Ovis aries: one gene and its partners. The protein of the gene in region 1 interacts with the protein of each later gene in a pairwise test. Links are inferred from orthologs where the notes say so. Each region holds a gene or a part of one and is shown in the gene's direction. Other genes may lie near its edges.

What was found.
Region 2: the proteins of FKBP1B (region 1) and RYR2 interact in binary tests that used the Homo sapiens proteins (3 or more experiments, as listed by UniProt). The link is inferred for Ovis aries from reciprocal best matches to the Homo sapiens genes FKBP1B and RYR2.
Region 3: the proteins of FKBP1B (region 1) and E3 ubiquitin-protein ligase TRIM69 interact in binary tests that used the Homo sapiens proteins (3 or more experiments, as listed by UniProt). The two-hybrid records come from large-scale screens. The link is inferred for Ovis aries from reciprocal best matches to the Homo sapiens genes FKBP1B and TRIM69.

Annotation. Positions count from the first base shown.
Region 1 is NC_056056.1:31,733,449-31,737,064, forward strand, and holds part of FKBP1B (peptidyl-prolyl cis-trans isomerase FKBP1B), read left to right. Parts: intron 1-2,415; coding exon 2,416-2,528; intron 2,529-3,513; coding exon of another isoform or gene 3,514-3,558; coding exon 3,559-3,616. UniProt on the Homo sapiens protein: Has the potential to contribute to the immunosuppressive and toxic effects of FK506 and rapamycin. PPIases accelerate the folding of proteins. It catalyzes the cis-trans isomerization of proline imidic peptide bonds in oligopeptides.
Region 2 is NC_056078.1:9,035,032-9,039,356, forward strand, and holds the start of RYR2 (ryanodine receptor 2), read left to right. Parts: upstream 1-1,481; 5' UTR 1,482-1,565; coding exon 1,566-1,613; intron 1,614-4,325. UniProt on the Homo sapiens protein: Cytosolic calcium-activated calcium channel that mediates the release of Ca(2+) from the sarcoplasmic reticulum into the cytosol and thereby plays a key role in triggering cardiac muscle contraction. Aberrant channel activation can lead to cardiac arrhythmia.
Region 3 is NC_056060.1:101,155,972-101,160,253, forward strand, and holds the start of E3 ubiquitin-protein ligase TRIM69, read left to right. Parts: upstream 1-1,477; 5' UTR 1,478-3,952; coding exon 3,953-4,282. Other genes in the region: E3 ubiquitin-protein ligase TRIM69-like, read left to right, coding at 18-544, 1,326-1,477.

The DNA of each region.
Region 1 (3,616 bases):
TGTATTCTGGATTTGAGTCCTTTGTTGGCTATACCTATTCCAAACATCTCCTATTCCAAAGCATCTGTTTTTCTTTATTCCTTTATTGGCATCCTTTGAGCAGATTTCTTTTTTTTTAATTTTATTTACTTGGCTGCAGTGGGTCTTAATTGCAGCATGTGAGACTCTCTCGGTTGCAGCATGCAGGATCTTTTTTAAAATATAGATGTATTTGGCTGTGCTGGGTCTTCATTGCAGCATATGAGATCCTTTAGTTGTGGCATGCATCCTAGTTCCCTGACCTGGGTTTGAACCCATGCTCCCTACATTGGGAGCACCGAGTCTCAGCCACTGGACCACTAGGAAGTCCCATTTTGAACAGAATTCTTAATTTTAATGAAGTTCTACATATGAATCTTTCCTTTTGCAGTTAGTAATTTTGTGTTCAGAAATCTTTGTCTATCCTAGGTGATGAAGCTCTTCTTCTATTTATTATTTCTTAGAAGCTTTATTATTTTATCTTTCATATTTAGGCCTGTGATTCATCTGGAGTTGATTTTTATGTGTGGGTGAATTAGGGGTTCACTTTGATGGTTCATTTTCCCTCATATGTATATACAGTCAATCAGCAACATTAATAAAAAAAATCACCCTTTGTCCATTACATTTCAGTGGCACCCTTGTTAAATCCGGTCACCATGTGTCTGTGGTGTCTGCGGTGTCTGTTTCTGGACTGCATGGTTTTGACTGAACCTGCTGCAGTAGATAAAAGTTTATGGTCTGAAGTGGTTTAAGTCATATGAAACCTGAGGAGTACGGGGAATGAGAAAGTCAGTCTTTAAATGGAGGGTGTGGATGTATGTGCGTGTGTATGTGCATATCCATATGTGTACTGTACAAGTTTGTGTCTGTGTGACTGTATTATATCTACGTATCTAAATATTTTCTTAGCATCTGTTTGGCCATCAGGGTTTTCTTCTGAGTGCATGTGCATAAATGTATGTGAGCATGCATGCGCATCTCTGAATATCTTAGCAACCTGTGTGTATGCTTGAGTTTGTATTTGATCTTGTGTATTTGATACAGAAGTATCCATCTGTGTGTGTCTCTGTGTAGCAATAGGGTTTTCTTCTTTGCCTGATTTAGTACCCAGGGAAAGAGCCCAATTTATTCTGCTGAGAAAATAGGTAAGTAAGAATGTCTCTTGTAAAAAAAAAAAAAAAAAGAATGTCTCTTGTATACATTTATATTGTAGGAATTAGGATGTGGAATCACAGATACTTAGACACTAGACCTCTCATGTGAAACATGGCAAATCTGAGATCAGAGAGAAAGTGATCTAAGTTCACACAGTGAGTTAGTGCCAAAGTGAATTCAGAATCTAATCTCTGAATTTACAAGCTAGATCTTTCTCTGGTCCCAGACTGCCTTCTGATGTGGTCCAGGCAAAGAAGGCCATGAGAAGAAGGCATGAAGTAGCATCCTTTGCAGAATGTCTAATATTTGAGCTAGAGACACCAGTAAGAACAGAAAACAGAAAAGCAGCTCTTGCTTCTTAGGCAGCTGGACTGAGACAACACATGCGTGTACATCAGGAATGACAAGATATCTGCAGTTGGAGGCTGAGGGATACTTCAGTCTGCTAAGAAAACACTCAGGGTGTCCTGAGTTCACACAGTCCTTTTGTATGAGGTCTGGAGGCTGCCCCTGACTGGCTGGGTCACTTTACACTGTTCGCTGCAATAAAGGATGATATGACCTTTGGGTTTTGTGTAGGGGGGGAACCTTGAGAACATCAGGTGAGGACTCAACCTGAAACTGAAATGCCTGGGAAAACAGACTGTCAGGCTAAGGAAGGTGCATAAAAAAATTTGCAATGTGCAGAAGTACTTGAGAAAGGTCTGACCTCAATAGGGAAGGGAAGGGGAGAAGGGGAGGACAGAGAGAAGGTTGTCAGGCAGGCAGTAGCTAGATCTTAAACTGCCTGGATACAATGTAGGCATTCGGATTCTCCCTTAGGAAAGTTACAGAAGCAAGGGAATAATAGGATGAGGCACGTGCGTGCGCATGTGTGAGTGTGTGTGTGTGTGTGTGTGTGTGAAACCATTCTGGGTGCAGTGTGGAGAAGGGAATGGAAGAGTAAAAGCAGAGCAACAAGACTCGTTAGAGTCAGTTCCTGTCCACAGGTAAGGTGTGACAGTGGCTTGATGAGACCACAGGGTGGTGGTAATAAAAGTAGAGAAAATACCTGGACTTCAAAGATCTGTACCATTTGGTGATTGGTGGGATGTGCTTGCTTAGTCAACGGGATGGATGGGGAGGACAGGAAGACAGCAGGTTTGTACAGAATAGGAATTCCATACTAGACGTGTTGAACCTGAAATGGGAGTTATCTCATGACCACAGCTCTTTTCCACCCTATCCTTGCTTTCATAGGAATGCTTCAAAATGGCAAGAAATTCGATTCATCCAGAGACAGAAACAAGCCTTTCAAGTTCAGAATTGGCAAACAGGAAGTCATCAAGGGTTTTGAAGAGGGCGCAGCCCAGGTAAGAAGAGGATCCTTGTTAAGGGGAGTTTGAGCAGCTAGGGGTCTGGGCTCTGCACTCTGCCCTCCACCCTCCCCCATCACAGACCATCACTGCTTTGACTCCACTGCCAGGGCTTGGCAATGCCACCTAGTTTCAGTCCTGGCTTTGTGTCCCCACCCCTTTTGTTGCCTGTCACTTGGGGCTGTCTTCCCAAGCACATCCCTCCAGTTCTGAGCAAGCCTGTGAGCTACTAGCTGTTCAGGACTGAAACAGCAGAAGAGGTGGGGTAGGCTACTGTTTAGGGTTTTTTTTAACTTAAAAAAAAAAAGCACTAGTTTCAGACTTGCAAAAATATTATATGAGTAGAGTTCTCATATACTCTTTACCCAGCTTCCCTAAATGTTGTTTTACATAACCATAGTACCGTGAACAAAATCAGGACATTAACATTGATATAATGCTATTAGCCAATCTGTTCAAATTTTTGAGTCAGTTATTCAAAATTTAAAAATTGATTATTCAGATTTCACCAGTTGTCCCACTAATGCCAGACAAATCCTTGAGGACTGCTGTGATGAGCCCTGGTTCAGGCTCTTCTTCCTTCCTCTATGAAGTCACGTGATGTTCCTTGCTGTGCCTTCTAATCTCTTAATCTAATGAATTGGTCCTAGCACCTACATGAGTATATACATGCATATATGGTCTTTACACATCCTCTTTAGGCTTCTTTGAAAGAAGGAAAAATTATGAACAGATTGAAGTGTTGAGGTGTACTCTAATTGAATAACCAGCATTGTTTGCTAAATCAATGAATTTGAGCCTACAGTGTTGAAGTTACTGTCCGTAGTTACGTCTCTGCTAGTCTCACATGCAATCTGCCTTGGTTACAACTCTTAGCATCACTTCAGTGTGCCACATATAAAATTCATCTCAGATCTTCAGGGTTACCATGAGGATGGTTTGGGAAAATGACAGTTACCTTACTCTTTTCTTTTAAATCAAGCTGGGTCCTCTTTCTCCTCTCCCCATCTGCCCCCATCCCTGCTAGATGAGCTTGGGGCAGAGGGCGAAGCTGACCTGCACTCCTGATGTGGCATATGGAGCCA
Region 2 (4,325 bases), on another chromosome or scaffold:
ACAAAAATATGTCAAGAACTTCGGTAATATGATTAGTATCATAAAATAGAGCAGAGCATTGCTAATCTCACCAAGAGGGACAGTATTTATAAGCATATTCTTTATGTTATTCATTCTACTGGAAATATGCAAAACTGGCTCAGTAAGTATAAAGTTCATGAAAGCTGAAAATAGCATATAAGGTGCATAGAATCTACTATGCAGATCTTAGTAACCAGTTATATGCTACAAAACGCGCAGTGTAGGTAAACTGATGACAAACCACCTGACAGCGTCTGAATCTTTGGAGGATTGACATTTGCAGTCTTTGGTTTGTATATACTTAAAGTACCGTAAATGAAGGAATCGTGCACTAGGAACAAGAGATAAGTGCTTTCCTGTCCAAATTCTCTCAGACCCTGCGTTTTCTTACAGCAATTTTGTTAAACGGCAATTTGGTGGGTAATTGCACGGAGGATTGCAGGAACTACATATTGATACTTGTGGTGAAACGCTCGACTTTCTTCAGAAGTAAATGGCTGTATAGTGAGGACAGAGAGTACCATATTCCGAATTTAGACGGCCTCAATGATTCATACTGATATCTCATAGCTTATCGCAATCCATAGTTAAGCACTTCTAATAGAGTGTAAACTCCGGTCTGTTTATTCTCCAGTATCTGGCACAGGGATTCACCATGTATTTGTTGAATGAGTTTGTTACAGTTCTATGTACCATGCATTTTGTGTGTCTGATCTGTGAGGAGCATGGTGCACCGACACTAGATCCTAATGAATTCTCATGATGATCGGGGAACAGAACTAATCTAAGTTTAAAATCACCTTTACTTGGAGGTGATCCACTCCGGGCATCCGGGTGAAAGATGATTCTTGCTTGAGATCTGAAGTGCCGCGGAAAGTACTGTGGGAGTCCCTTCCGCTCCCGCAGGAGAAGCAATCGTGAGAGCTGGTTTAAGGTCAGAAGCCGCAGGTGCAGGAGCCCAGGGAAACAAGAAGGGCGCCGCTGGAAGGTTGCGCGCTCATCGGCTGCGCTCCGGCTCCGATACCCGGAGCGGCCAGTAAGCGGCGCTGGGCCTCGGATTTGGTGGCCCCGAGGAGCGGGCTGCGGATTACCTGCAGCAGAGGGGAGCCGGCGAGCTCCTCCCCGCCCGTCCGCCCCCACTCCCCGCCCCCACCGCGGCACTCACCCGGGCTCCGCCAGCTCAGCGCACTCGCTCGGAGGAGCCGGGGCCGAGCAGTCCGCCTGCGGCAGGCGGGGCGTGCGAAGCCAGCGCGGCGGGGCTGCGGGGCCGCTTGCCCGCGTCCTCCGGGCCGGGTCGCCCTCCTCCCGCACAGTGCGGCGCAGGGAGGCTCCCGCCTCCGCCGCCCCCGCCCGCCGGCCTCCTCCTCCGCTCTGCAGGCGGGGACCGCCTGGCGCTCGGCACCCAGCAGCCTCGGACCCCTCCCGCCCCCGGCTCCCGGCAGCAGAAACAGCAGCAGCAGCAGACAGAGCGAGGGACCGCCGCCGCCAGCGACGCCGGGCTCCGCGGGGTTCGGGGGCCGGCCCCTGCGAGAAGGAGCAGAGCCATGGCCGATGGGGGCGAGGGCGAAGATGAGATCCAGTTCCTGCGAACTGTAAGCGCCGCGCGTCTCGGGTTCCCCGGAGGGGGGGCGGCTAGAGGGAGCCGGGGCATCCACTGGCCGGCTCCCGGCAGTGGGACGCGCGGGCGCGTAGGGGGCTGCCTCTGGCGGTGCGGGAGGAGGCGGGCAACTCCCGGGGGGCGCAAGTGTGCGTGCCGGGGCGAGGGAAGGGAGGGTGCGTGTCTGTGCGCCCGCGTGTAAAGCCCGGAGACCGAGCGTGGCCGGAGCGCGAAGAGCGGCCGGCGGCGCACCGGCTTGGTCCCAGGGCGCTGAGATCGGGAGCCCCGGAGCAGCGGGAGTCTGGAGACTCGGGGGCTGCCGATCCGGCCTGACCGGTCGGCGAGGCTGGGACCTTCGGGGCAGCCGGGGCACAGTGCAGACGGAGTGCGCGGTGCGGAGCGGGGACCAGCGGGGACGCGGTTGTTGCCCGGAATCCCGCCGCGGCGCGGTTTCTCGGCTTTCGCGTTAGACCCGCGCGCAGTCACGCATCCCGGGGATTCGCGCAGTTGGCGTTGCCGGGGTCGGGGAGGCGGGTGCAGGACGTGCCCCGAGACTGCCCCCAAGTCGAGGTGCTGCTCAGGGGAGAGAGCGTCGTCTCCGTGGACCTCGCGGTGCCTGGGTTCGGGCCGTTGGTGGTGCTGAGACTGCTCGCAGAACGTGGAAGGGATGGGAAGTGAGTGTCTGTGCACGCGCACGCGGGGGCGGCGAGGGACCTCGCGAACGCGTCGTTCTCTAAATGTTGGCTTATTGAACGCTGAGTGCAGCAAAGTGTGTGTGTGTGTGCGCGTGTGTGTAAGGGCAGGGAGGCTGCCTGGAATTTCCACACTGAGTGGCAGCAGGCAAAGGTTGGCTTCGCACTAATACAGTTTTTTCTCCTTAAGTACCCCTTGGCACTGCTCCTTCCTGTCGCCGATTTGTTCGAACGCTGCAGATACTTCCCTGGCTGAGGCTTTGGTCCCCTCGAAGCTGGGACTGGAGAGCCCCTTGGCAAAAGAAAATGTCGTAACTTCTGGTTAAGAATCGCCGTGTTAGCGTTTACAGCATCCTCTCGGTCTTTCCTTTCTCTGCACTTGCCTCCTCCTCTCCGAAGGATATTCCCTTCCAGGATTCCCTCCACCTCCCATCCCCCCGCCAAAGACTGCAGCTTCTCGTGTCTCTTCTTTCCCCAACAGTGAAAAAGCTGTCGGTGCCCACTTGCAATTACCCCACAGTCACAGACAATTAGAGCGAGACTTAGGTTTTGAAATATTAACCAGATAGCAACTTTTAGGTGCGAAAAGAGCCTAGATGATGTATTTGGGTCCCGAACGAGTGAAAACAGTACATTTGTTCAAGAGCATTCTAAGTGGCCTGTTTTTCCATTTAGCTCTTCTATTTTTTTTTTTTTTTTGCACTCACTTTTGCTTGGGGGTAGGGGCTTTAGAAAGAATAAAATCCAGGGTACACTTCAGATTGGCCAGTGATTTGATCTAATAGCTGCGAGTCATGCACCATTACATATGCTGTTGGTGGTACTACTGCTCCACCACCCAGCTCTAAAGAACCAGTTCAGGAAAACCTTGCTCATCAGGAGTATTTTAAGCCTGCTAGTAAGACAGTTTACCTTTATTTATTTATTTATTTTTTAGTGAAAAACGATATCGTTTTCTAATAACTAATAAAAAGCCACATGAAAAGATGTTTCTCAGTACTGTGAAAGCTTTTGTTTGGGTGGGTAAAATATTTAGTTGCTGTGTAATCTCTAAATTCAGTTTTTTTTCATACTCTATAGGGTTAAAATTAGCTAGAAAATTTTGGAAGGCTCTGTGCACTCAAGGGCTTCCTGCAGGCTTAAATGTTAGCGGAGCTCATGGAGGTGGTGTTATCAGAATACTTAATGGGGACCGAGGTAATGTGCTTGCTGATGGGCTTCTGTACATATAAAGTAATGTTAAGTCTGTGCCCCTGGACAGCTGCCTGTCAGCCCCAGCGACACCTTTGATAAGTGGGTCGTGGGTAGAGATCTGGCAGTCCTAGGCTGGGATTTTTCTTTTAATAAAACATCCGTAGGCTGTTGTGCTGATGATAAATGACCTTGAAGGAGGTAGCTTGATGGAGCAGGGGAATTTTTTTGGTGTGGTGTGGCATGAACATCTAAAAGGAAAACATGCCTTTCCCTCTAAATTTTAGTTTTAATACAGAAACTCTCAAACCCTTTATCACTCGTCTGTCTGCCCTTGCTCCTTTCTGTTTTATTCACTTAATCCGAGAATGTTGTTGGTTCAGAAATGTTAATGGAGTTAGGAATGGAGAGAATGTAGTTCTTACCTTTTTTTGGGAGGGGGAGCATTTTTTTCTCTGTTTTTTTGGTAGCCCAGGGAGTATTAACAACCTGCACACCTACATAAAATGGTTACAGATTATGGATAACTGTCCTGCTTTAAAAAAAAAAAAAAAGTCAAACTGTTAGTCATTAAAAGGCCATAATGGTGAATTTGACCAGACATGTAGTATATTCTTGGAGAAGGCAATGGCACCCCACTCCAGTATTCTTGCCTGGACAATCCCATGGATGGAGGAGCCTGGTAGACTGTAGCCCATGGGGTCGCTAAGAGTTGGACACCACTGAGTGACTTCACTTTCACTTTTCACTTTTATGCCTTGGAGAAGGAAATGGCAACCCACTCCAGTTTTCCTGCCTGGAGAGTCCCAGGGACTGGGGAGCCT
Region 3 (4,282 bases), on another chromosome or scaffold:
AGCCCACTACCCTGAAGTGGGCAACAAGAAAGAGAAACTCATTTTAGCTGTTCTTTTTCAAAGGTATCTTCCAACCTCTCCTCCAAAACTGACTCAGACAGCTACGCTGAAGTGAATGATGTGATCACCCAAATATCCTCCAAAGTGCAGATACAAGATATTACTACGGAATTACACTGCCCATTGTGTAATGACTGGTTTTGTGATCCACTAATGCTAAGCTGTGGCCACAACTTCTGCCAATCTTGTATCCAAAAGTTTTGGAAGCAGCAAGCAAATGAAACATTCTGTCCTGAGTGTAAGATGTTATGTCAATACAGCAACTGTACTTTTAATCTTGTACTGGAGAAGCTGGTAGAGAAGATTAAGAAGCTACCCCTGCTCAAGGGCCATCCACGGTGCCCAGAGCATGGAGAGAACCTGAAACTGTTCAGTAAGCCAGATGGGAGACTAATATGCTTTCAATGCAAAGATGCTCGATTGTCTGTAGGGCAGTCTAAAGAATTCCTGCAGATCTCTGATGCTGTCCGTTTCTTCACGGTGGGTGAGCCCTGGGTCTTGAACAGTCTTGAGCAATTCCTTAGGAAGGCTGGGAAAAACTGTTGGACTTCTTCTTTCAATACCACCCCTCATTCAAGTGATTATTAGAAAGCTCAGAGTGCTCAAAAAATACAACGTATCTTGCAAAGTTCTTTCTCTGTAGTTGTCAATTATAGGGAAGCAGTAAAGGAGCTCTGGCCTACTTCCTCAATCAATCAAACATTTACCTGAACCTTGCCTTGACAGCATTCTACTAGGCACTGTACAGAACATGGACATGTAAAATAATGCTTTTGTTACTGAAGTCTTGAAATGCAGTCAAGTTTAAAGTGAACAAAACAACAGAAGGGATATAAGACAGTCTACTGTTGAGAGCTAAATTTTTGTCACATTTGTTTCAGAGATTAGAGAAAACTGAAATAGTCAGGGGAGGCATGGTGAAAGAAAGCTTGAAGGGGGGGCAATTATTTGAATTTGGATGGGTAGAAGGAAGAAACGAGTGTTCTGAGAACAATGTAAGTAAAAGTAGAGATAGCAAGAACAGTGTAAATATAGTAGAAAGTGTACAGAGTTCTGTTATCTTCCTCAAAGCCCTGTAGTTAGCTAAGAAGAAGATAAAACTTAGTTTTTCTGCAGTTTGTAATTTTCTTCACAATTTTTGGAAGAGACAGGAATTATCATATAAGGGAAAAGGAAACTTTTGTAGTGGGAGCTTGCTTTCTTTCCCCCTGACACCCTGGGGCTTTGGGGTAGATGTTCTTCATGGCCCTTCATCTCCCAATTAGCATGGGTTAATTCTTTATGGTATCCCCAGGAGGAGCTTACCATCCATCAGGGTCAACTGGAGGCAGCCCGGAAGGAGCTTCTGTCCCTGAAGAATATGCAGAAGGATGCTATCGCTGCTCACAAGGTGAGGAGCAGGGTAGAGGGGTCATGAGACAGAACTGGACTTGTACCCTCCTTGTAACTTCAGCTATGTGGGTGGAAAGGTACCTTTACATATACAACAACATGCTAAATGGCATCTGGCCTTAGAAGTAGAAAACAGACACTGTAGAGTGGAAAGAAATACGGCAGTGGAGTAGGTTCCCAATAGCTGATCAACAGAGAGAGCAGACTGACCTTTCCCCTAGATAAGCTGATCCTTTTCATGGTGCAGTCCCTAGGTGATTGCTCTGGGGCTGTGATCTGTCTGATCTTTCCTATTATCTATCGTAAAATAAGGAATTCATTTTTAAAAAATCCACTAAAGATTGTGATGTTCAAAGAAATAACTTTCTTTCCTTTGGGCTTAAAACCAGGCCTCTCTGAACCAAGGTCTCTTAGACTGCTGGCTTTTCTCTGTGATCTAATCCTTCTTAGCTTCTCCCAAACTAAATAAAACTACTGCTTATACTTTCAACTTCACAGGAGCTCTAGGGCAACATTAATGGTTAGGGACTTGGCAAATCAGTTCCTAGGCTGGGGGAATAATTTGGGAGTTCTGTTTCTTCATTAATTATCCTACAGAGGAGAGTCTTCTCTGGCATTTGGCATCTGGAAGAAGAAACAAATATAATGAGGGAAAGAAGAAGGCTAGATGGAAATAAAGATGTCTCAAGAGAATCGTGTTCCTGTTGTAAGAGTTCTTAGTTCAGCTATTACAGTCAACACTCATTCATTCAACAAATATTTGAGTGGTGCAGCATTATGCTAGATATTGTATTCCAACTATGGTGGGAGACAGATGTTAATTAAATAATCCCACCAATAATGAAACATCACTGTGATAATTACTATAAATGATTATATACAGTATATTAGAGTATATAAATGGAGAGCCTAATCTAGACTGAAGAGGTCACTTATTAAAAATTGAAATTAAAAATTCTTATTAAAAATTGAGAATTGAAAGGATAAGTATTATCTTTAGCCAAGTGAACTGGGTGAGGGGAATATGAAGGAAATGGCCTGTAGAATGTTCTATGAAGAGGAAAGAGCGTTATAGAAAAGTTCTTGAGACAGGAAGCTAGTTACTATGTTAAACAGAAAGAAGGCCAATTAAGATGGATCTTGGTAGGCGAGTTGAGACCAAAAAGGCAGATAAGGCCCAATCATGTAGGCCCTTGTAGATAATGTCATGAATTTTGAATTTTATTCTGTGCATAATTGAGAAGTCATTAAAGGGTTTAAACAGGACGGTCTCATCTCATTTTGAAAGCATCAGTCTGGTGGCTGTGTGGAGTGTGGACTGGAGAAAGGCAATAAGAAGGATAACGGTTAGAAGAAGACTACTGAGGTGGTCCCAGAGAACGATGATGGCTTGGACTAAAATGGCAGTAGAGACCGAAAGAAATAAACGGCTTTAACATATGCTTTGGAAAGAAAAACTGCCTGCATGTGGTGACCGATTAGATGTGAGAGGCGAGTGGTGATATCAAATGGACAACCGGATGTATGGACCTGGAGTTGAGAAGCTGGTCTAGGCTGAAAATAAGAGGTCAGCGTACAGACTGCACTTCAAAGTTGTGAGAGCAGAGGCTATTACCGAGAACGAGAGTGTAGAATGAGAAAGGGAAAGAGCCTAGGACAGAGTATCAAGTAATTTAATATTCAAAGCTTGGTTAGAGACACAACTAACAAATGAGACTGAGAAATAGCGGTGAAATAGGTAACAGGAAAAATGGAAATGTCTGACCTAGAGGACAGTGAGAGTTAAGACTATTTTAAAGAGTACAATTACAGTGCTTGACCACAGACTATAAGCTGGATAAGAGGGGACATGAAGACAGAGAAGCTGAAGAACAGAAACGGAGGGTCAATGAATAGGAGGATTCTATGAAATCCAATAACTGCTGCAACAGTGGAACCTGGGTAAGCAAACATAAAAAGTAATTCTGGGGATGGTACAATTGCCGAGGAAGATAAAACCCTCAATGTGACTAAAAGAATGAGTAGATATAGGTAAAAATCACTAGAAATGATGATGAGGAACTGAGAAGCCAGGATGCCAGATGGCTTGCCCATGAGGAAGCTGAAGTCACCTAGGGAAAGAGCTGCCAGTGTAACGGTTACCGATTTCAAGTGCTGCAGACACCACCCATCTCTGGCTTCTTTTGTATTGTCCTGGCAGCAGGAATGGTGCCTCCTCCGTTCTGATTTCTTGAAAAAGGGCAGTTCTTCCAGCCTCCTCTGGACCCAGTCTAACAGCATCCCTTGGTAGATACTGGTTTGTACTTGTGGATAAAAGGGTATTATTGTTCATTTAAAAGTGTTCGATTAACCCCACAGTCTTATTTAAGATGGCATTGGTTACCACCTCAGTTTTGCAACAGGAACCTAGACATGACTTTTGACTATTCCAACCCTAACTATTAAACTAGCTGGGAAAGACAGAGTAAGTTTCCCAAAGGCCTCCTTTTAGTACAGTTGGATGTTGATATGCAGTGTTTGCATGCGTTTTCCTGTTATGGTATTTCCCAAGTTGTGGGAGTGCTGGTGGTGTGGGCCCCCATCCCTAAATGCTAGTCTCAGTAATTACCATGGTGATGATCATGGAGGTTTCCAGGAAAACAAGCTACATCTGCAGCAACACATCTCCCTGGAGTTTCTAAAGCTGCATCAGTTCCTGCACAGCAAAGAAAAGGACCTTTTAAGTGAGCTCCGAGAAGAGGGGAAAGCCTTGAATGAGGAGATGGAGCTGAATCTGAGCCACATTCAGGAACAGTGTCTCCTAGCCAAGGAGATGTTGGTGAGCATCCAG